2 linked regions of the Neodiprion lecontei genome follow. The protein of the gene in region 2 interacts with the protein of the main gene of each other region in a pairwise test. Links are inferred from orthologs where the notes say so. Each region holds a gene or a part of one and is shown on either strand. Other genes may lie near its edges.

Evidence for each region.
Region 1: the proteins of ras-related protein Rab6 (region 2) and GRIP and coiled-coil domain-containing protein 1 interact in a two-hybrid assay, tested with the Drosophila melanogaster proteins (2 studies listed by BioGRID). The link is inferred for Neodiprion lecontei from reciprocal best matches to the Drosophila melanogaster genes Rab6 and GCC88.

What each region holds. Positions count from the first base shown.
Region 1 is NC_060266.1:25,188,793-25,201,593, forward strand, and holds GRIP and coiled-coil domain-containing protein 1, read right to left. Parts: upstream 8,694-12,801; 5' UTR 8,498-8,693; coding exon 8,413-8,497; intron 8,307-8,412; coding exon 8,170-8,306; intron 8,043-8,169; coding exon 7,878-8,042; intron 7,787-7,877; coding exon 7,596-7,786; intron 7,462-7,595; coding exon 7,218-7,461; intron 7,143-7,217; coding exon 6,827-7,142; intron 6,747-6,826; coding exon 6,427-6,746; intron 6,344-6,426; coding exon 5,880-6,343; intron 5,793-5,879; coding exon 5,615-5,792; 3' UTR 5,612-5,614; intron 5,530-5,611; 3' UTR 2,305-5,529; downstream 1-2,304. Other genes in the region: D-aminoacyl-tRNA deacylase 1, read right to left, coding at 8,832-8,923, 8,996-9,231, 9,332-9,422, 9,605-9,647; centrosomal protein of 152 kDa-like, read left to right, coding at 9,778-9,835, 10,151-10,275, 10,359-11,238, 11,307-11,395, 11,481-11,681, 11,968-12,207, 12,273-12,445, 12,524-12,801.
Region 2 is NC_060263.1:23,057,542-23,067,228, forward strand, and holds the start of ras-related protein Rab6, read right to left. Parts: upstream 4,959-9,687; 5' UTR 4,784-4,958; coding exon 4,714-4,783; intron 2,811-4,713; coding exon 2,752-2,810; intron 635-2,751; coding exon 475-634; intron 1-474. Other genes in the region: protein FAM8A1, read right to left, coding at 6,083-6,427, 6,713-6,842, 6,958-7,078, 8,021-8,179, 8,345-8,594, 8,864-8,959. UniProt on the Drosophila melanogaster protein: Protein transport. Regulator of membrane traffic from the Golgi apparatus towards the endoplasmic reticulum (ER). Mediates membrane trafficking during egg chamber growth and organization, possibly upstream of exocyst component Sec5.

The sequences.
Region 1 (12,801 bases), on a different chromosome or scaffold from region 2:
GTGTTGAATCTTGGCAAAATAACGAAAAAAAAATATAATAAAAAATGGAAATATATTGTTGAGAAATTGGCTGTAAAATATAGATATTGTAATTAGCAAAAAATGTTTTGGAAGTGCACGATAAAATGTTCAGGTCTCGCGCGACGGCACGCATATACATATATTGTAGCTAAACAGCAGACAGCGCATGTTCTACATATTTTGTAAATAAAAACAATATAATTATATTATATTATATAAAGAAATAGAGTATAATAATTGAAGTATAGTAAAGGATATAGTCTTGTAATTTGTAGAATGATAGTTATTATTAAAAAAAAAAAAAAACAAAAAAAAACAGAAAAAATAACATAAGAAAATATTAATCACTAGTATAATTACTTCTACGAGTTTAGGCAGGATTAGGTTTAGTTTAATTACAAATAACTGGGCCTTTACACGTCATTGAAATTTTGGCTCGGGATTGTTTACTCCACTCCCTCATAATCAAATGCCATTTGGTTCACACCCTCCAGCCTCCGTATAAACTGAAAAACTTGTTCCCAAATGATTGATAACTCTTGATACCATTATTTGTGTGTGTGTATATATATATATATATATATAAAAATATATATATACACACACATATATATATAATATACTTTTGCTGCCCAATAATAATTTTTGCAATTACCGATTTACTATAATTATTACTATTTATTTATTATTATTAGAATTTTTTTTTTTTTTTTTTCGACACCAACTTAAGAACGCGGCAAGCGTGCTGCAAGCAAATATTGACAGAGTGAAGCGCAAATATTTCGCGATAAGATTTCTTTTTAGGTAATTTAACAATTTCTCTGATCATTGTTGCATGAAATGATATAGAAATGTCTTGACGTGTTCGTTCTACCTCATTTGTCATATCCGACATGTACTTTTCTGTAAAAGATTACTCATGAGGTTTTACGTTTACTTGAATTTTCTTTCTATTTTTTTTTCTTTTTCTAAAATCTTAAAATCCAATGAGGATTTTGAAGCAACGGACTATTTCACAATTTTGATACTTTTAAGAAAACAAGAAAACTGAAATAGCGTACTTAAACTAGCTTCTCAGAACAATTCTTTCAATTTTATCACATATGTAATATATGACTTTTGTCACAGATTATATTGTTCTTTGATTTCTTCGGAAATTTGCAGTAAAATGTCGCCCAGATATGAAATAACAATGGTTCGATTGAAAAATTAGCCATTAGTCCGTCATTTGTTGAAGATAATTTTTATCTTATGCAGAAAAGCACATGATAGGATTATTGCGTAACACGATGTTGTCAAGGACCTTATTCTATGGGGGGTGGGGGAACTTACAGAAGATGAACACTAAGACGCTCTCTGACAGTGAAATTTCCTTATGTAAATGGGGATTGCGGCCGATAAGCGATATTGTAGAGTCTCGTAAAATCCTCATCCTTGCCTCGCTCGAACAACAATTAGTAAAATTTACCACATTTTGTACTTGATTTAAATTTTAAGTAAGCTATTTTCCAGTATTGATAAGATTTTTAAATAAGTTTCTTGAAAATTACTACTATTATTATTATTATCTACAAGTTTTTTTTTTCTTATTTATACATACATATTTTTCGTAACTCGTTGAATAATGCGAAGAAATTTGCTTGGTGACTATTAGCCGTTGCTTGTATGACTGTGATTTAGAAAAGCAGAACTATAAAGGATAAACCGCTGGGCGGCTATAATAGCTAGCAGTTTCCTCGCTCAATAATTTATCTCCCTGAACATATTCGTTATCCTCTTTTTTTCTCCATTTCGTCAAAGGAAGAGAGGAAGAATATCAAAGAATTACATTCATAGAAATGCTATGATGTTTGATAAAGAAAGATAGGAAGAAAAAAACTCGACAACTTACGACGAACAGCGAGCCTTACCAACATCCAAATTATACCCTCCCCTAAATACTTTTTATATTATTATTTGTGTTATTGTATTTTTACCACGATATAATTATTAATTACTTATTACTATTATTATTATTATTATTATTATTATTATCATCATCATCATTATTATCATTATCATTATTATTACTGTCGTCGTCGTCATTCTTATATTTCTTATTGTTTAATTTTGAAATATTTCTAAAATTGTTAAATATAATACACTATATCAATCAAGTATAATGTTATCGAAATATGAATTAGATAAAATGAATACCACACGTACAAGTGATAATGTCTATCTATTAATCAATATATCCATGCGGTAAATTCTTCTTTTTTCTTTTCTTTTTTTTCAATAAAAATACCTTTGATGTATGATGTAAATCTTTACTACTCAACGTTGTGATTATATACAAATGTGACACATACATAACGAAGACGATGAGGATATTTTGAAACTGATCTTTCAAACTACTTGAGGTGATTCCGTGTACCTTGAGATAACTGGAACGAAACTTTGAACGTGAATATCAAAGGTCTGCTTCAAACGACCCTCTCTGTATGTATGCGTGTATAATTTGTAAAGTATGCACTGATATATACATGTACGAAATGACGAGTATGATAAACATATATTTGACATTTTATAATAGCCACTATCTGGCAGAAGCTTGAAACTCTTTATCGACAGCGGTGGTCATGTTTGGTTCATTTACAATTTTCAATTACACCCAAAGTATGCGTGTGCAGATAAGTAGCCGTAAATGATTGCGACACACGCTATGCTTTAAGGTAATAAAACAAGCATCGGTGGTGCTTGGTAGACTTTAAAGCCTACCTGAGACTTCACCAGCCGATTAGTACACGCTAGACCAAATTTATAAAGTGACTGTACAATAATTTCGAAGTGCACATTTTGACGATGTATTATAAAATTTGTTCGTTATAACATTTTAATTAATTAAATTTAGTTAGATGAATCCGGAACACTGTATTGCATATTTGCAAATAGGTTATGCTTTTTTAGTACAGTTTCCAATGTTCTATAAAGTATGTGTTTCATAATACTTGAAAGTTTGCTAAAAGTCATTTAATTCTCCGTCGCGCACATCGTTGTATTAACAGATAACAGAAAACAGTATTTAAGGGTATTTTTGGTTAAGATAAATTAAAGACAGGTGCAATGATCACACGAATATCAATTAGCTGGTTGAAACTTCGGTTAATGTCTATAATGTATTACAATTCGATTCGCTTTCCTTGTAGCTAAAGTCGAGATCTGGTGCATGGATTCCCCAAAGTAGCGAGAACGATCCTTTCTGACAATTTATAAGATTACCAAAAAATGAAATGAACAAATATTGAATATTGTGTGAACATTTTGACGACAGCCGCAGTACGAGGTAACGATTATTAATGCAATCATATTACCGCGTGGCTATATGGATGCTTACATCAACATTAGAAATTTAAGTGGTTTAACGGTAAAAACTTTTCGATGCTTAGAAATTCACAGTCATGCCTTATAGACCAAACATCGTAATAATTGAAATGCATTTCTGTTGTGGGAAAAGGAACTTCCTCATTGAGAATAAATGAAACCAAATGATATTTTCTTCAAATTGCTATACGTAACAATTTATTGTCGACAACTAATTGAATACTCAGTGATTCAATTGCTTTTGGGAACAGCCATACGGTGTATGAAGTTTTGTTAATTTTAATCAAGATACTCTGAAACGATAATTAGGAAGTAAATTTCTGTTTCAATTTTTTGAGGAAAAACATTGGATGTATTATTTTTTTTGAAAAGCATAAATTTTTAAGGGTATTACATACTTTAATGTGTATATAATACGATGTATAAATCATACTGTTATATGACTGTAATAATAATTGAGATATATAATAATAATAATAATAATGGTAATAGTAATAATAATAATGTTAATTACGATACCAAGACGTAACAATTATTTGAAAATAAAATTAAGTGACAGGGAAAAATACATAAATTAAATTGAATATTTGCTAGAGAAATTGGATAATTGATATTCGGGTGAATGTCGCGTTAAAAGAGATGCGTGAATCGAATTATTTAATGTCTAAAATAGGAAATTGCGTGTGACAGAATAAATAAGATGTTGAAATCTGTGTTGACAATCGCCGACATATTGAGCTTACATTAATAACTGAACGATATTGTAGAGACACAATATGCCTTCGAAGTGTTGAAAATAAATTTTCTACTTTTTATTCGTAAGTACATTTTTACGAAATCAGTTAAATGTTAATATTTAGTATCGATCGTTCGGTGGGTACATTTTTAACGTGTTCACGTATATTTCGACGAATTTTTGTATTGTACTTACGATTGAAAATCTAAATTTTGTATTCCCATTTTGGGAAGAGGTTGATTATAACTGTTGATTTTCAAGTAATTTTCAAGCTTCTACTTCGAGCTTGATTTGTCAGGTGAATGTAGCTTACTTGTATATATGGTACATATACAACAAAACCCAGTCCGCTGTTAGTTACAACATATTATTAATCTTTTAGTATAAATATGAATATCTTTGTTAAGATAAAAATCGACCGCGTAAACTTCCGTAATGTTGTATCATTTTGATGCTATTATAAATCGCATTAGAGAACGTAAATTATATACAAATAGAGGTACGTGTTATATTATATTATCGAGAATGTGATCGAAGCGAGAGATGTTTATTATTTCATGTTGTTCGATAAAGAGAATTGGTAACAATTTGCACAATCCTGCATGAGCTGCAGTCTTTCTCCACTAGCCTTTCCTGTACATAAAACGATAAATATTTGATTGTGCGATATGACGATACGTATAATCATAATCAATAAACTGTAACGATATTATAGACTCAAGTATATGAATCATTTAAATAATATACACACATGCATATATAATATATATATATATATATATATATATTACATATATATATATATTAATAATTTTATTGTAAATGTGTTACATAATGTGTACTTCGTACATCCCGAGTACTTGCAGTAGGCATTAGATAGAAAATATTGCTTGAGGATATTTTTTCAATGCCAACAATGTGATCACTTCATGTAGAGAAAGCGATATAATAAATTTCATGTAGAATTAATAGTTTGAACGTGTCTTTTGAGTCTTTTCGTATCCACTTCTTAACAAGACCAGAAACTACATGAAATCTAAGAATTTATCGCTAAATCAAGTTTCTTTTTACTGTCTCGTACAATTTGATAGTCCTTTGGATATCTCTCATCAAACACATTACATAGAATATTTTCGTATCGTTTTATAAATAATTTAAATGCTATATCTAATGTTCTAGTCGATTAACTATTTATAGTGGATAAAGGGAATGTTTTTTCTCACTCGTACGATGAGTGAAGAATGAATAATTGCGAAATTTTTCACCTTTTACCCCAGGCAGATTGTCCAGGCCAAGGTAGTCGCAGAGAGAAATAATCCTGCTCGAAACGTGACACCCTGATGATTTTGCTCCGATTACTTTCAAGAAACGAATATAATGACGAATGTAGCACCATTTAATCGATATATCTGAAGAGGAAGCACGGGTTACACATATCAATACTGGTAATTTTAACGCAATGAAAATCAACTGGAATTGATATCAACTTACTCATCAATGTCGTTTGAGGTGACGAATTTTCTCCACCTCTTCCGGAGTGAAGTGAAGAATTGTAGAAATAGCATTCAACATATGCCGCTTACTGGATGCATCATTAGTCAGGAGGTAATTGAGTACGACATTCTTCAAGTACTCGAGATTTGCACCTTCTCTGGATTTGTAGGCTTTCAATCTACATGCATACGTGGAAAAAGTTGAGTTGAAAACATTTTTTTAATGCTAGTTATTATAATATTTCTCTTCTAGTTCCCTAGCGTACCTTGTAACTTCATTTTCTAGTCTCTTCAATTCCTCCCTGTGTCTTTCAGTAGCTTTTATATATTCTCTGTGTTTCTCTCTAATATCTGCTTCCATTTTCATATTGCTTTTTCGTAATCCTGAAACCTGGACTTCTCGCCGCGCCAATTCTTGAGCGTAATGGAGCATAGGTGGACTGTCGGCTGTCAGCAAGCCTGTAACGAGATCAACTGCTGGCTCGGAAATATTGTCCGGAGTTGGAGATTTGGAGCGGTCTTCCTGATCTCCAGAAGAAGCTTTCTTTGGCAGTAACGCGTGAAATGACGACTTTAAGGTTTGAATTTCTTGGTCCTTTTCCTGAATTAATACTAATGTTCGTTCCCTTTGACGTTGAAGCTGATGTTCCAAAGTTGAAATCTTCCCTCGGAATTCATTCTCTTTCAGAGATAGCGATCGTTCACTTTTCAATCGTTCTTCTCTGAGTAGCTGCAATACATCGACTGCGGTTATTACTGTTAAAACTTGAGTGACAAATTTGTTTTTGCCCACATATTCTGTATTTTTATTACCTGTTGCTGATTTTCTAATTGAGATTTGCATTCTTTTTCTTTGTTAATTATATCTGCATGCGATCTGCGCAATCTTTCTTCCAAATTTTTAACCTGCAATTTAGCAGCATTCAACTGCAGTTTGTAATTGCCACTTTCATTTGATTCAGAAGCAGTAATTTTGTCCCGTTCTTTATTCAGTGAGGAATCAGGTATCGCATGACGAAGCTGGGCCGATGTTTTCAATTTAAAATCTTCGAATTCTTGCTCTAGCTTTTCAAACTTTTCTTTGTACTCTAGATCCTCGTTAACATCGCGTAGATTTAATTTACCTAAAAGATCTGACATTTTTGTTCATAAACTCTGAGTAGAACTTGCACGATTGAGCTAACTATTAAAATAGACCTGGAGGATACGTTACTTTTGATATCAGACGACTTGTCCTGATTAGCCAGGTCCGACATACGAGCATAGAGCTTCTTTATTTTAGCTGCAATTTCTTCTGGATCATTTTCAAACCTTCCTGTTTCTTTATCTTTACATCCAGCCCCCTGCAAGTTGGCCAATTGGTCCTTTAGCTTTTGAATAGCTTGCTGATCCTGATGCCTCAGTCTATCGTATCCTCCGACTGTTTCCGATAATTCTGCTAATCGAGCCTCCAACCCTGCGACTCTGGATTCATGCGTCATTGCTAGAATTCTTGCCTGTTGTTCTGCGGCAGAGGCTCTTTTTTGTTCCTATATACAATGAGATATTATACAATCGGTCGTTCATTGGAAGTAACAATTTTATGAACTCTGTGCTATTGTTACCTCTTGAATTGCATTGCGATGTTGTTGTTTTAAACTCGCCATTTCAGATTGTAAAGAAAGTAGCAGTGGAGGAGTTTCTTTTGCAGCTGCCTCTGCTTGTTTCAATTTATTCCTAGCAATTTCTAACTCCGCCTCTAGCAACTTACTTTGCTCTTTACTCGCGACGTTGATCTTTAGATCTCTAACTTGGTTTTCCAACTGTTCTTTGGCGCATCTTTCGTCGTTGAGCAGTCTTTGCAGTTCCCTACAAATTGATAATATAATCCACATTATTACCTTAACAATTTCATTGTGAAGTTTGAAAAAAATTTGCTGTAATAACAAGTTGGTCAAGGCAAAAAATATTCGATTAGTTAATCTGCATGCAAGCCAATGTACCAACAATGGTCGAAAGCAATCTTCATACAAGTGAGGTATATGTACTTAATCATTGCAGAATGATCAGCTTGCTCCTTTTCCCGTTCATGCCGTTCCATGATCAGTTTATACTTAACATGTTCAACCTCGGAGCGTGTCTCTTTTTGTGCCTGTTTTAATTTTTCTCTCAACTCTCTGATAACTTTTTCATACTGGAAAATATTTCACATAATCAAATCAAAAGATGTTTCAAAATATCAATTTAGACAAATATTGCTGTTTTTAAAATTTAATTGCACTCACTTCTTCTCTTTCCGTACGCAGCTGTTTTTTATCAGACTGAAAATTCGCCTCCATTTTTGATTTTTCTGCCGAAAGAGTTGCTAGTGAATTCATCAGGGCACTAAGCTGAGTTTTTAACTGCTCCACCGTCTCTGGTTGGCTTGCTTCTTTTTTAGAATTGGGCACCTGAAAGTATAAAGTTTGTCAAAAAAGTATTCAACGAACATTTACTGCATCCCATATACAACTATGGATTGATAATATGAATACGCAATCGCTTGTAAGTATAGTAATGCGATTCATCTTCAAGTACCGGTTCAGTGCCAGTTTTCAAATCCGACGGTTTATCATGTTTATCAACGTCAGCCTTAGTTTTAAGGATAAAAGCTTTGAGGCTTTCTTCTAGGGCTTCTTTTTCCTTTATTAGACTTTCGTACGCCGGCACGATATCTGAAATAATATACAAATTAGATGTACATCGTCGCGTGTCCGGTTACCCGAGCGTTTCAAATGTTGCGCGCCATTTTTTATTCCGCTGCACTCAGCTATTACCAACCTCTCAAACGGTTTTCATACTTGGTTAGCTTTTGCCTCTGCTTGTCTACGATTTCCCAGAGCTCCTTCTTGCTAGTTTTTTCCATTTTATTAATCACCTTCTGGACTTACAGGTTGAATACAACGTATGCTTGCAATATTCATAGGTGATTGAGCTTATAAATCAATTCAGAAATGAAACGGAGATGTTAAATAGGATAGCGTATGACAGCTGGCGATTGCAATCATATTCACGAGCACACGTGCTTCCAGTATTGCCAACGTTATAATTTCGTGCTCTTTCTCGCACTGATTAGTGACACCATCTTTGATTTATTTTAGAACAGATGAATGGTCGCAAGGCAGGAATTAGGCGTGGGCTTAAAGCAGAATTTTTAGAATTTATTTTATTTCCAGACTCAAGCGCACGACGTCTTTAAATCACTGAGATACTCTAACAGGTGATTCAATCTCCAGGGTGACTGGTCCATCATTCTCGATTAGAACTTGCATCATTGCGCCAAATTTCCCATCTGAAAAATGTATTGTAGGTATGGTTGTAGTACACTTATAAATTGTGAAGAGGGTGAAGAGTATTTACATACCTTTTATCAACTCGGGTTTGTACTGTTTGCCAAGTTCAAGGAGAAAATTGTTGTAAAATGGTTCCGATTCCGTAGCTGGCATTGCTCTGTGAAAATCCAGTTTATTCCCCTTCAATTGATGGTACAAGGTGAACTGGCTGACACATAGAATTTCATAATTTTTATCCACAACGTTTGTAGACCATCTTTTCTCATTTTCGTCCTCGAAGATTTTAGTGTTAAGAATCTTGCGGATTCTGTTTTAAAATCGAATATATTCAAAGGTCCCATCAGGTTCTTAGCAATTTATGAAAATATGTGAAAGATACATTAAATTATTGAGGCGAGTTAAATTACATGTATTCCATATCTGCCGCATTGTCGTCTTTTTTTAGTCCTATTAAAACGCAGAGTCCCCGTCCGATGCAACTGATGATTTCACCATTAACTCGAGAAGAAAAAAATTTGAAGAAATCGTTTAATCACCCAAATATTTGTCTGACAGTAGTGTTGGTGCATATTGATTCGAAGCTAGAGTGCAATAAATATTTATTTGGAAATTCAAAATTTATCGCGAATACTGTAATCAAATCAGCTACTGTGTAACCTAACGCAATCAAGTACTCTCACCTGATACACTAGCTTGTGTAACTCGTTGAATTACGGCTTTCATCCTGCATGAACGAATCGGTCAATTCAAGTTTTATAAAAATTCTGAATGATTGTTTGGGGACAAGTCGAGTGTCTTTTGTTCCTACGAGATTTGAGGAGAGCTGATAACGTACGAAGTTTTTCTGTCACTGATGAATCAGGATGGCGTCTATCCGGTTACGCGAGGTTGGCGGGAGCGCGACGCAACTAGTACGTAATTTGATATTTCCGGTGCGTGTAATATGCTATAGAGTGGTGTTTGACTTTTCAAAGATTGTTTACAAGCGTTTTCCCCCGTTAACGTTCAATCGAATTTAGTCAAATCCATTATCAATATCAAGGCAGGGTCGGTGGCAACAGTTTCATAAACATCCCGGAATGTATTTCTGAACAACATTCAACCCCGTTGTGTTAAATGCGACTAGTTATCGATGACACACTTGTTGCACGTAGGTTATGGCCCTATAAACAAAGGTACTTTATTCACAAATCAATGATATAACATAGTTGTTCGGCGTTAAGCAGGCTTCGGGATGGAAGGGCCTGGTATAAGTTTGTTTCAAGGATCCGATAGCATCCAGTTGAACACAACCGCCCAGCGCCAAGAGGAGGATGAAGAACAAGAAGACATCAAGCGCCGGAATGAGGAGGTGAATGTTAACTCTCTTCTTGGTAAACAAACCCAAACCCCTCCGTTTCTTGCACTATAAACCCTTTTCGTAATTTTTTCAAGATCAAAAACATTTTGACAAATGCTTTTGACGACCTCGACAACGACGACGACGAAGCCAGCTCAGTCAACAGCAGTAGATGCTACAATGACGTTACCAGAGACACAGAACGGAGTCATGCAGGAGGGTTAGTTTTTGAAACTACGCGCTCTGAGAGTGGTCCGACGGTTTCTCAAATACAACGAGAATTCGGGGTGTACGGACGCGTCGACGCCAGTAATGATTGCAATGATCAACCCCAGTCCAATTTCGAACACCAAAATGCAGATCGTGGCCCTACTATTTCAGACATACAGAGAGAATACGGGGTGTATGGGCAACCGGAAACACCGTATAGTAAGAATACTGCAAATAATATGGTCAATTCGTTGGACAGTCCTTATGAATTGCCCAAACCATCGAATCCTGGGTATCCTCACAATATCAGAGCTCAGCTTAGCGAGGGGTATACTTTTCCTGAGAGTTATCCAGCTAATTACAAAACTCCAACCAGTCGCTTTGGAACAGCGACTGAAAATTATCGCGACAACGGGTATATCGACAATTACGAAAAAAATGGCCCGTATAAAGCTATTCAGGAATTTGGCGGAGGAGATAGCGAAGTCACTTCAGATCATTTTCAGCATTGCTTTCAAACCAGTCCAAATGGCGGTCCTGTCGATGAGAATACAGCCTATAAGACCGCAGAGTATAATAGTAATGAACAATTGCAAGTATTGTATTCTGTTAGAATGCGAGAAATTCAAAGGTTAACGGAAGAATTGCAACAGTTGCAAGAGGAACGAAAAGAAGAGACAAGTCAGCTCAGTAGAAAGCTTGCTCTTGCTCAAGCTGAAGTGGAAAGATCTAACCTGTCGAGAAATCAGGCACAGAATTTACTTGGTAAATATTTTACATTGATGTGAGCAAAAATTTGTCAAACTTTTTTACAATTGTTTTGATTTTTCCAGTGGACGCTAAAGTGGAAATAGGTGATCTCCAGGCAAAATTAGCAGCTTTGAAAGAAAACGTTGCTGTATTGGAAAAGACTAAGCAAAATGTGAGGCATAATAAAGATCAGAGAGTTTTGTGTTATTTCGTTCCATAAGAATAATAATAATAATTTCTATTACCCACTTCAACAGATGGGTGAAGAGCTCAGCATTTCCAAAAATTCGGTGGCCGATCTTCAACAAAAAATAGCGGTCCTAGAAAGAGTACAAATGTTGCAGACAACTGATAAAACTCATGAAAAATTTTTGAAACAAGCTCAAGAAAAACACACCATAGAGATGAAGAACATGCAGATACAGATAGATGCTCTTACAGATAAATTAAATGCTAAGGTATTCACTTGAACTAATGAACCTTTTACATAATTTCATAGTATAAAATAACACGAGATCTTTTGTAATTTTTGATGAAGCTGCTAATCATGGATTCTAGCAGCAGCGACATTTGGGCAAGTGTCTGATCTTCTGCATAGAAGTTTGCGTTTGCTTCCTTGAAAAAATTATTTCATTTAAATTTGCTCCAGAGTAATACTGATTTGTGTAATATCTCCTGATTACATCGATCAAGAAAAATTGATATTAAAATGTGAAAATTTACTGGTTGTTTTAAAATAATTAGGAAACATCTTATGTCGCTCTGGAACACAAGTTAGCTGATGTAAGGAGGGCGCATGAAACATTAATGGTAGATAAAGGAGATACGATGAATCGTCTGTCGCGTGCGCTAGAGGAAAGTCAGGCTCAATGTCGTCATCTGATGGCCAGTCACAATGTGCAGGAAGTTACGAAGTTGGAAACTCAGCTTAGAATTGTGACGGAGGAGAAGGACGAGCTTGTTAAAACTGTACACGAACTGCAGGTAAGGATTGTCGTCTAAGCATCTTTCTTTCCGTGAATACTTGACAAGAGTTCATTTACTTCTAGCGGAAATTGGATTTAGCCAAGAGCGATATTACACAATATGACTCACTGCTGGCAACTACGTGTGAAGAGGAATCCGACTCTATGAGGCAACTAAAGTTGGGCGAACTTCACAATAGATCTAAGAGTAAACCAGCTGATGATATTACCAATAAACTGCGAGGAGAATTGCAGCGGTATTTCTAATTCGTCTTTCGATGATTACTCAATACCAGAATGAAGATCTTTTAATTAAAATGCTGTTTTTATTATAGATGCTTGGCAGGACAAGCAGTTAAGAGGAAAGAGATAAATCGTCTAGAAAATACTCTTGCCCAAAAAGAAAGAGAGGTCGAACAAGCTTCATCCTTGGCTCAAACATGTCAAGAAGAAGCAGCGAGATATGCAAGGCGGGTCAACGAGTTGGAAATGGAATTGAAATCTCTTTTGACGGACAAAGCTATGAAAGCAAACGCGGAGATACAAAAGCTTTCTGATCACTTGAATGATACAAAAAAACTTTGTGATAACCTGCAGACAGAAAAAAATGAAC
Region 2 (9,687 bases):
AAAAAAATAGAAAATACTTGAATTATAAAAAGAGCCTTATATGTTGATGCTTAATTTCGAATCATGTTAGAACGGTTGAAAATCACTCAGATTCGTTCAACTTCACTCTAAGATGGCCCATTTTATTGAGAAGACTATTTTTTACAAATTCACTGAAATAGATTTTCTTTTTTTTCTCAGTACTTGATTCAATATTGCCATTTATTGGCCTTAGTCAATATTACTGCAATTTTGAAAAGTTATATATTTAATGATGCCAATATAATAAAATAAACCGTATTTAGTGAGTAGGTACAAATTAATCTTCTGAATAAAATCAGTTGTAATCACGGAGTGAAATCGAATACATCTACTAGATTTTTTTATCATTTTGAAAGAATTTGAAATGAACCATCGATACCTAAGCCTCTGTTTAAAACTCCGGTATTTCTTATTTTTGGATTTTTAAGAAGATTTTATCTTCTATCAACTTACTAGTGATGTCATACACCACCACAGCAACAGTCGAGTCTCTAATATAACTAGGAATGAGGGAACGGAATCGCTCCTGTCCGGCGGTGTCCCACAGCTGCAGTCTAACTGTTCGATCTTCAAGATACATAGTTTTACTCAAAAAATCAATTCCTATCGTCGCCTGCAACAAACAAAAAAAGTTTATGAAATAAGGTGTAGAGCAATGATTACGAATGGTATTGGTATTTTCAAATGTAACAGACATGGAATAACATCAAGTGAAAACGAAATTCAATCGCTATATTTCAGAAATGCATATGTAGACAGCGTACAGAATGTAAAAAAAAAAACAAGTGGTCAATTTGGCTGACTTTGATAGACCAGCCTAGGAAATTCCTGCTTTGATGCATTTCGAGCCCATAAAATATTAACAAGTGAGATACATGTTTTTTTTTTAACATCATTATTTAAATAACTAGAGAACTATTCGACCATTGAATTCCAAAATTTAGTTATTTCTAAGCTGTTGAATAATTATAATAAATTTTCTTATTCTTTTTATATATTCTTGTCATTTTACTCAGTCAAAACAGAAATGGCAAGTTAAAACGAAAGACTAGATTTGAAATGGAAGAAATGTTCGAACGAATATAAAAATAAAATTACCAATAATCGTTATACATTCATCAGCTGGACTACCTACGCTGTTTTGCTTTTTGAATTCATATGTAAAAGGACCTTGTATTCGTAAAATTTATAAATAAAATGAAATAAATTTAAATGTTATTGAATCGCAGTTATAAACAATTTTCAGTACATTGACGTTATAAGGAATGGTAGGCTGAAAAAAACAAACTCTAAAACTTGATGCAGATATTTACAATTTTAGCAACAGCTTGAACCAATATTTAAATACAGCGCCAATGTCAATTGATCGTTTGAAATGCAATCGAGTTTTGAACTGAATAAAGCTGAATATTTCAAGAAAAAATGCATCTTGAATCCATACTATAACATTTCATTAATAAATTCTAATACTGCAGAAATTATTAAGGTGCCGTTCAAGAATTGCAACACTGTGTACTGAAATAACAACTATGACGAAAATGCAGATAAATGTTTCGTTCATTACCAGGAATTAGAAAATTTCAAAAACTAGCACCGAAAATAAAGTCACACGATATTGAAATGTCAGCTAACATAAGAAGTAAAATCTACAAAATTCCAAGTATTTAAAATAACACCTTATCTTCGTGTTGAATAGTGATCGATATCTAGCTTTCGATCAAATAACCCTAGGCATGGAAATTTTTTGGGACTTGAAATGTATGCTAATTGTGAATTGATAGACTCAAGAGATAATTATCATCGATTGATAAATATAGCTCTGGACAAGTGCTGGTGTTTAACTCTCGAAAAGAAATAAAATCGTTTGATACTGTGATAGAGAAAACCGAGTCATCAAATGATTAATCAAAATTGATCACATATACATTCAAATATTACATTTCAATACTTCTGTAATCAATCATGGTTGAATTTACTTGTCAAAGCCTATCCTCGAACATTACTATTAGAAAAAGTCAATGTCTAGTCCTTTCTACTACCACTTCAGCTGACATTGGCCTCAGACACCTGTTATGTGGTTCTTCCAATGTGTTTCACATCTATGACATAATACTGATGTCTCTCCTAGGTCAAGATTAATGGGACAATGATGAATAGTCTTCGAATAACTATACCGAGTGAAAAACCAACGTGCGAACAGTTCAATTAGCAGTAAATTTTGCTCATATCATTAAATTCAATTAAAAAGCTACTACTGGGAAACTCTCTGGTGATACGAGTTTGATCATCTATGTAAATAATTTACTCTTCAAAATATTTACTATTCAACTTGAAACGTAAACAGATATCGGTATTTGTATTTAAATAACAAGGTAATGATAATGTAAAACTTGAGGTGAGAAGAATAATGTAATATCATCCTGTACATGGCCTACTCGTTCAATAAAAACGCAAAGTGAAAACACTAACATGAACTCGACAAATCGGTTGAATCTCGTTTAGTGCTTCTATGCAAATTAATCGCTTCCTGTCCATCTATTATTTATGTGTATTCTAAACTAGTGATATAAATAGTGTCTTATACTTTTACAAGTAAGTAAAAGTAGTTACGAGTACTGAATAAAATTTGTAATCAATTTTCGCAGCGGGACTGTATAGTGGCCAAATGAAAAGAAAAATTACAGAGATGGCTCCAACTATAATTATAATTATAAACATCTTAATACGCACCTGATACGTGTTGTCAAAGCTATCATACATAAACCTTGTGATGAGGGAGGTTTTACCAACTGCAAAAAGATCAAATTATTCAATAAAAATAACACGAAATAAAATTCTGATCATTTTATATATGATACTAAGAAATAGTTGACGTAGTCTGTAATTAATACTAATGCGTAGCCCGGCCGAATGAAAAATTTCTGGCGTGTTAAATAACTCGCAGTTAATTAATTCAAGATCAATAGCAAAAACAAGTTGAACTGTATTTGTTAACATCGAAATATTGAGAAGACTGTTTCATAATGCTGTGATCATTTTTCTGAAAAAATCAACTTTTAACAAATCACAAGGAAGATCAGTCATGATCTAAGGATCAAACATGCTGAGGTACATCCCCTGATACTACAATAATTGCCGATAATTACAAAGATGTGAACAAATTATTCCGTTTATACAAAATTCACTGATTGTATATCATTTCATATTTCACCGTTTTTCATTATTGATGAAGATATTTTGATGACGTTTGTCTAACAGAGTTATTTTTAAAACAGGGCAATAGTATTTCTACTCTGCAATTTTTTCTGAATAAAATTGAATTATTTTTGCCAAAAATTTATGGGAATTTCCCCTGTCCATGCGTCAGAAATTACTAATCTCAATAATAATTAAAGACACTGAGAATTTGTATAAATAAACTCAGAATATTTTGACACCTAGGTCATTGTGTTAAAAAATCGTTATTTTTAATAGTCAAATAACACTTCTGGATGTCAGAAAGGCTGATTTTAGCTTGCTTAAATGTGTTCATTTTTTGAGACAATAGATCGACATGAGTTCAATGTGTATTCACTTCATTTTTCAAAGTAAACTCACATCTTTCTCCCTAATCTGATGAAATTATGGATTATTGAAAAATAGTTATTCATCATGCATCATACACTAAAAACTAGATAAATTAGACTATTAATTCATTGTATGTTGATGGCGTGAATTTCAATTGAGCGGGGCATAAAAAGCCGGTAACTACATGGCAGAATTGTGTTTTTGTTTTTCCATTGAGTAAGCAAGTAACTGTTCATGGAGAATCACATTATGCTTATTGTGGCTCAGGCAAGTTCAGAATAACTGTTCATTAATCTGTAAATTTCATCTCCCAGGAACTGTATTAATATGTAAATACGTACTTTAATGTGAACTAATACACATGACCATTATTATGAAAAGTCAAATATTATTAACCATGTCTTAATAAAGCAATTTTTTCCATGCATATAAAAAACAGTATTCTTATAATTTCTTAATTTTTTGGCAAAATTTTCTGGTAACTTTTCACTAGTATTCAATCACTTTAGAAGATTTAAGTAGTTCAATAATATTAATATAGGATATGAAAAATGCTACTTTTTTTTTTGTTTCTCTTACAATTAGTCATTCGTACAAATAGAGTAGCTTATACTTGATAGTTAATCTTAGTTTATTTTTGCTGCCAGTTTACTATACCAATATTTATAATAGATAAATGCTAGAGATTCCAGATAAAAGGTCATTTCATATTTAAGCATTCAATTCTTATTCGTAACAAAAAAGAAGATGAAACAAAAAAAATCGATTGCTAGTATTAATGTAAATTTTCATTTACAGCAAAACAGAAAAAAAAGCAATCACCGATATAATTTGATCCAGTGATATCGGTACAATAAGCTGTATTATTTATTTGTCCGATAAATAACGATATATAACAGCGATGCGAAGTATTATTGCAAGTACCGAATCGGATTTGAGACTCACGTCAGCTACGGCAGACGGACAGGGGAAAATATCGATTTATAACCTAGAACGTTATTGAAAATTCATGCGTAGTATAGATGTCGAAAGTTCAGTCTCCAACGGAGTGGTGGATAAGAAAAAAGTAGAGAACTTAAGGGAAACTAAATTTAAATTCATTGAAATATGTGTCAAAATGCTCACCGCTCTGTTCACCAAGAAAAACGAGCTTGAATTTTCGCAGCGGGTTACCGAAATCACCCGAAGACGACATATTTTGAGGCTTCGTTTCACTTTGCTTGACACGCAATAATCAAATCTCACTATATCGCGCCGTAGCCGATGGGAAAAGTCATTAATATTTCCAAATAACCATATAATTTGACAGATTCAACAGCCACTCCTTTCGGCACGGCAGCCACGTTTGACTGGGAAGTGACGTCACGCCACTGTGTTAACGCTTCGTTTCTCCATCATGCCAAAGTCCGACGATTTCGTTACTCGCCGCTAGATGACGATGTATAAAGATCCCATGTGTCAAAATGTGAAAGGAGAATGTAACAGTCCTACCCTTGCCGACCGAATCACCTATCGCTCGCATTATCGCGTGGTACGTACAACCCATGTATGTACATACGTGCATACAACCGCGGGTGGGACCAAAGATTTCTAAATGATTGGTCATTTTCAAGTCCGGTGAACTTACGTCTAGTGGAGGACGCTAACGATGAGGCGAGTTTTGATACAGAAATTTTTGTCTGTTACCGAATCATAATCAATTAATATTGTAAGCCCCCCCATAAGCAAATTGGTAAATGTAGAACACCGTCATTATTACCGTATCCAGGGTGTTTTTATCTGATCCAGCGGTTCAAATTACAATTCTGTAAATGCATTATACAGGAATTCTTATTCATTTTTACAACATAATATATTACAGCTTCAGTCTTAGCCTATACACTTTCTTATTCTATGCGGGATTCCCAATATTCAAAACAGAAAGAAAAACTTGAAACTTTGAAAAAATCATGAATTTTAATTCACAAATTTGAATGAACAAAGTTGACTGAACGTGTATATGTACTAACGAATATATGTATGTACATAGAAATATAATTTCCCGCTTTATAATTTTATCACATACATAAAAGTAAGATGTTTACATTATGTGGTAGTTTAAAATTCAATGTCAATAGTACAAAATACAGATATTCGCAATGAGTTAAAGTAGTATAGCAAAATAAATTCCTTTTATTACACTTTTTACTCAATCAGTAACGATGGTTCATTTGGTCACAATGAAATGAATACATTCATTTTGTAGGTTTATGCACAACATGGTGTATGGTAATTTATATAATAGCTTAATTATAAATTTTATTACATATTTACATATATGCAATATGCAGGTGTGAACCTTGGCTAGATAGTACGCATTGACAAGGTACTAGAGAAAAAAATAATTAAACAAAGCATTTAAGTATTATAAACAGTTTTCTACAGCAGAATATTTCAGCTTCCATTATTTATATCCTGCCATAGAATTAATCAAACTTTGAGTAGTCACGATCGATTACTGTTGCTGTTGCCGAGCTCTGTTATTTGCTCTATCTCTATAAGGACATTCGATCACAATTGAGTTACAAACAAGATCGTAACCAGTTCTGTTGAACCTGAAGAAAAACAGGGCAAAGGAAATAGGAAACAGAAATGCTAAGATCAAATTCTTGACTATCGATCGACCAAGAGATAATGGAAATCCTAGATCTGTACCAGGGGTGATGAATACTAAATCAGAACCATCAGGTCTTTCTATGGGCGTTACATTTCGACACTGTACCACACGCAATCCCATTACAATTTTACCTGGTGTAGCTCCACCTATGCAGCCATTTATACCATGCTGAAGCCAGAGTGCCTACAAGGTTATCAACATTAAAAATTGCGCTGGTATTTTTCTTCTTTCGTTATTACGAACCCCCCAGTTTCTAAGAAGCTGATACCCTATTTTGCAGATGCTACTGATTCTTTTAGATACGTCTATAAATAATGGACCTTTAAAAAGGAAGCATGTTTCATTTCAAATTGTCTGATCGCTGAGATCGTCTCAAACTATTTTAGTTATAACATAAGAAGGGCCGACTGTACAGTTGTAATATTTAATTTGCTGACAGAGAAATGAAAAGTACGAAGAGATAGTTACCTCGAAAATGCACACAATGATGCGATGAATTAACTCCAAGATCAGTATTCCAGATGTCATTTCTAGAGCCATTTCGTAATCAATACGAAGATTTTTCTGTATCATGTCTAAATCGTATCGTTCTATGTCTCTGAAAAAATCAAGGAACAATTGTTTGCTGATTGAAATTTGAAATTCTGAGTATTCTGAGGGCTCCTGAGAAGCATAACTACTCCGAAGCCCTAGTGTTTATAGTTGTGACTTACATAAAATCGAAAAAGTCGACGGCAATAAATGTAATGGAAAGTTTAAGAAAGAATAGTACCATGAAGTCAATGAACTCTGCAAAAAATCGTTTCCAAAGTGGCGGTATACGATATTCAAAACCTGCAAGTGAAGATTTATTGTTCCTTTTAACAAATACCGTCAAACCAACGGAATGAGTATGACATGCATGATAGATGTCTCAAAATTACTGCATCTTAATCACTTTTTACAATGTATCAGAATCGTAAACAGACTTGTAGATTACATTTTCATGAACATTTCTCATTTTCTTCTCTTTAAATCTTATGAAATTGATGTGTCATTTTTTATTAAAATTTCAAAGAAATTAAATATGTTGGTAATTGAAGCAATGAATTTTTAATAAAATGTATTAGATATCCTTTTCCACCGATAACTAGTTTATCATAATCGATATTGGACCTATTTGAAGAACAGTGAAATATAGAAATTAGCTTTTTGCAGCAATATTTGAATAGAAAACAAAGATGATTTAGATGAATCAGATGGAGAAATGGTAGTTAAAAAAAACAGATTTTATGGAAGAAAATTGTAAATTCACAGGAAGTTTAGCTGAACATCTTTGTTACTAAGCGGAGAGGAATGAATTTATAAATGTCTGCAGACTATTTCTACAAATATTGTATACAGGCAGAATATGTGAGAAAAATTCATCTCGGTAGACCAGCATGATCAATAAAATTTGTAGCCAAACATTTGTACCACATTTCATCGGCTGGGAGGAAGAAGGTGTTGTTTCGGCTTTATCATAAAAAAGGTGTTGTTTAGGCTTTGCTGTGAAAAAGATGTTGTTTCAGCTTTGCCGTGAAAAACATGTTGTTTCAGCTTCAATTTGAAAAAGATGATGTTTCAAGATCAATTTTTATAAAACCAATTTCTAGTTACCGAAACAACACCTTCTTCCTCCCAGCGGATGACTTAGTCTGACCTGATGCAGGAGTTTTGTTCTGTAATGAAATCAAATGCAGGCTGAACCTGTGTTAATAATTGAAGAACACAGGAGTTATTTTTATGACCTTCTACCTTCGGCTCCAGGCGGTCGTGGTATTCCGGCAGTATCTGGAGGTCTCCTTAGTCTGAGACCTTCGTTAGTTTCAGGACTGTTTACGTCAGCATTGGCTTGTACATTTGACGCTGTTGCAAAACCAGCGTTGCTTGGTACTTGCTGGAATGGATTGACACCTGATGCAAATAAACATAGATCCACGAATGTTTTCAATTATCTGAACTTAAATTCAACAAACTGAAATTGAACAGTTGAGACTAGCTAGCAACAATCATTATATGCAATTTAAAACTAGCAAGCGGACGAAAAGTTGAAGCCGATATTTGATTTCTAATTCATACCAGTGGTAGGGTTCAACATTTGCGTTGACATTACGTAGTAAGGAAACATTGCCGCTACACTCTGACAGACGTACGCCTCCTGCAGCCATTTTTCCAATTTCTCAAAATATTCGGATCTCTCTTTGACAGCTGACGTCTGTGTATTTTGAGGTTGGGTTGCACTTTCATTTGGATTTCTATCCTCGGACGATTTATTCTCGTCTTCCAGCATCGTTGTTCTTTTATTGGTTCGCGTGAAAAGTAACTCGCACTGGAGTAAAAACGAAATGACGATCAGATACGAAACGGCTAATTGAGAATCACATCGCATTGACGTAAATGGCATTGACTATAAAGTCTTCATCGCACGGTTGAATCTCCATGTACAGAAAGTTTTAAGCAATCACAACAGTGTTATGCGAAAATGCACCAATGCGATTGTAGCTCCAGAAGGATGAATACCGGATTGAAGGTACAATTACAGAGTTACAGACGGAGCTTAAAGTAGCATCATCAGGTATGAATCTTGGGGGGAATTGCCAGCCTTCTTATTCTGTTCCTGATGACTATTGTCACCGCTGCGTTGTCATGTCCCAACAAACTCTTGTGTTTAGAATAGAATTTACTGTCACGCATGTGCGAATTCGGAAAACGAATTGATGATCAGACTTGTTACGAATCGGCACGTGTTGGAACTTGGTACAACTTCGGAATATTTCGAGCGTAAGCTAGGGTTAGACCGTGGTTAAGCACTGGCTATTTAGGAAATTGTACATACCTAATAACATGGAGCAATATAAAACCAGTAACTTACGTTCAATGACGCAGTGCGTTAAATTGAATTATTCTAGTCCGCATGCGCCAGAGAATGCCGGAGTTTGCAAAATACAGCATTTCAATTGTGCACATTTGCACGCATCAACGTTGTTTTTCCTCACTTCCAAGCAGATGTTTGAATAATATTTTTTTATTCTTTAATTTATAAGACAATGACGGTTGGGAATAATTAATTGAGTGAAGACTGTTATTTCTCTTTACTTATTCAGATGATTTTCGTATTTGTTTCACTTTCGTTTTTCTGAGGCACCATTTTCAGTGCCTCTGGTGTATGTAACGTTATCAGTATACTTGAAAAAAATTAAATTTGCTGTTATGTTCACCTTAACACCTTTTTTTAGAAACTGGATAGTAAGTAATTAGACACCCTGATGCTTAATAAACATATATCGTTGTGTACCCATGGAAATGGAAAAGGTGTCAAAGAATAAGAATAATCATCCTGTGCAATAAACGCAATGGTGATCCATGATTATTAATGTTATTATTAATTTATTTTAAAACACCTGTCAACTACGACACATACT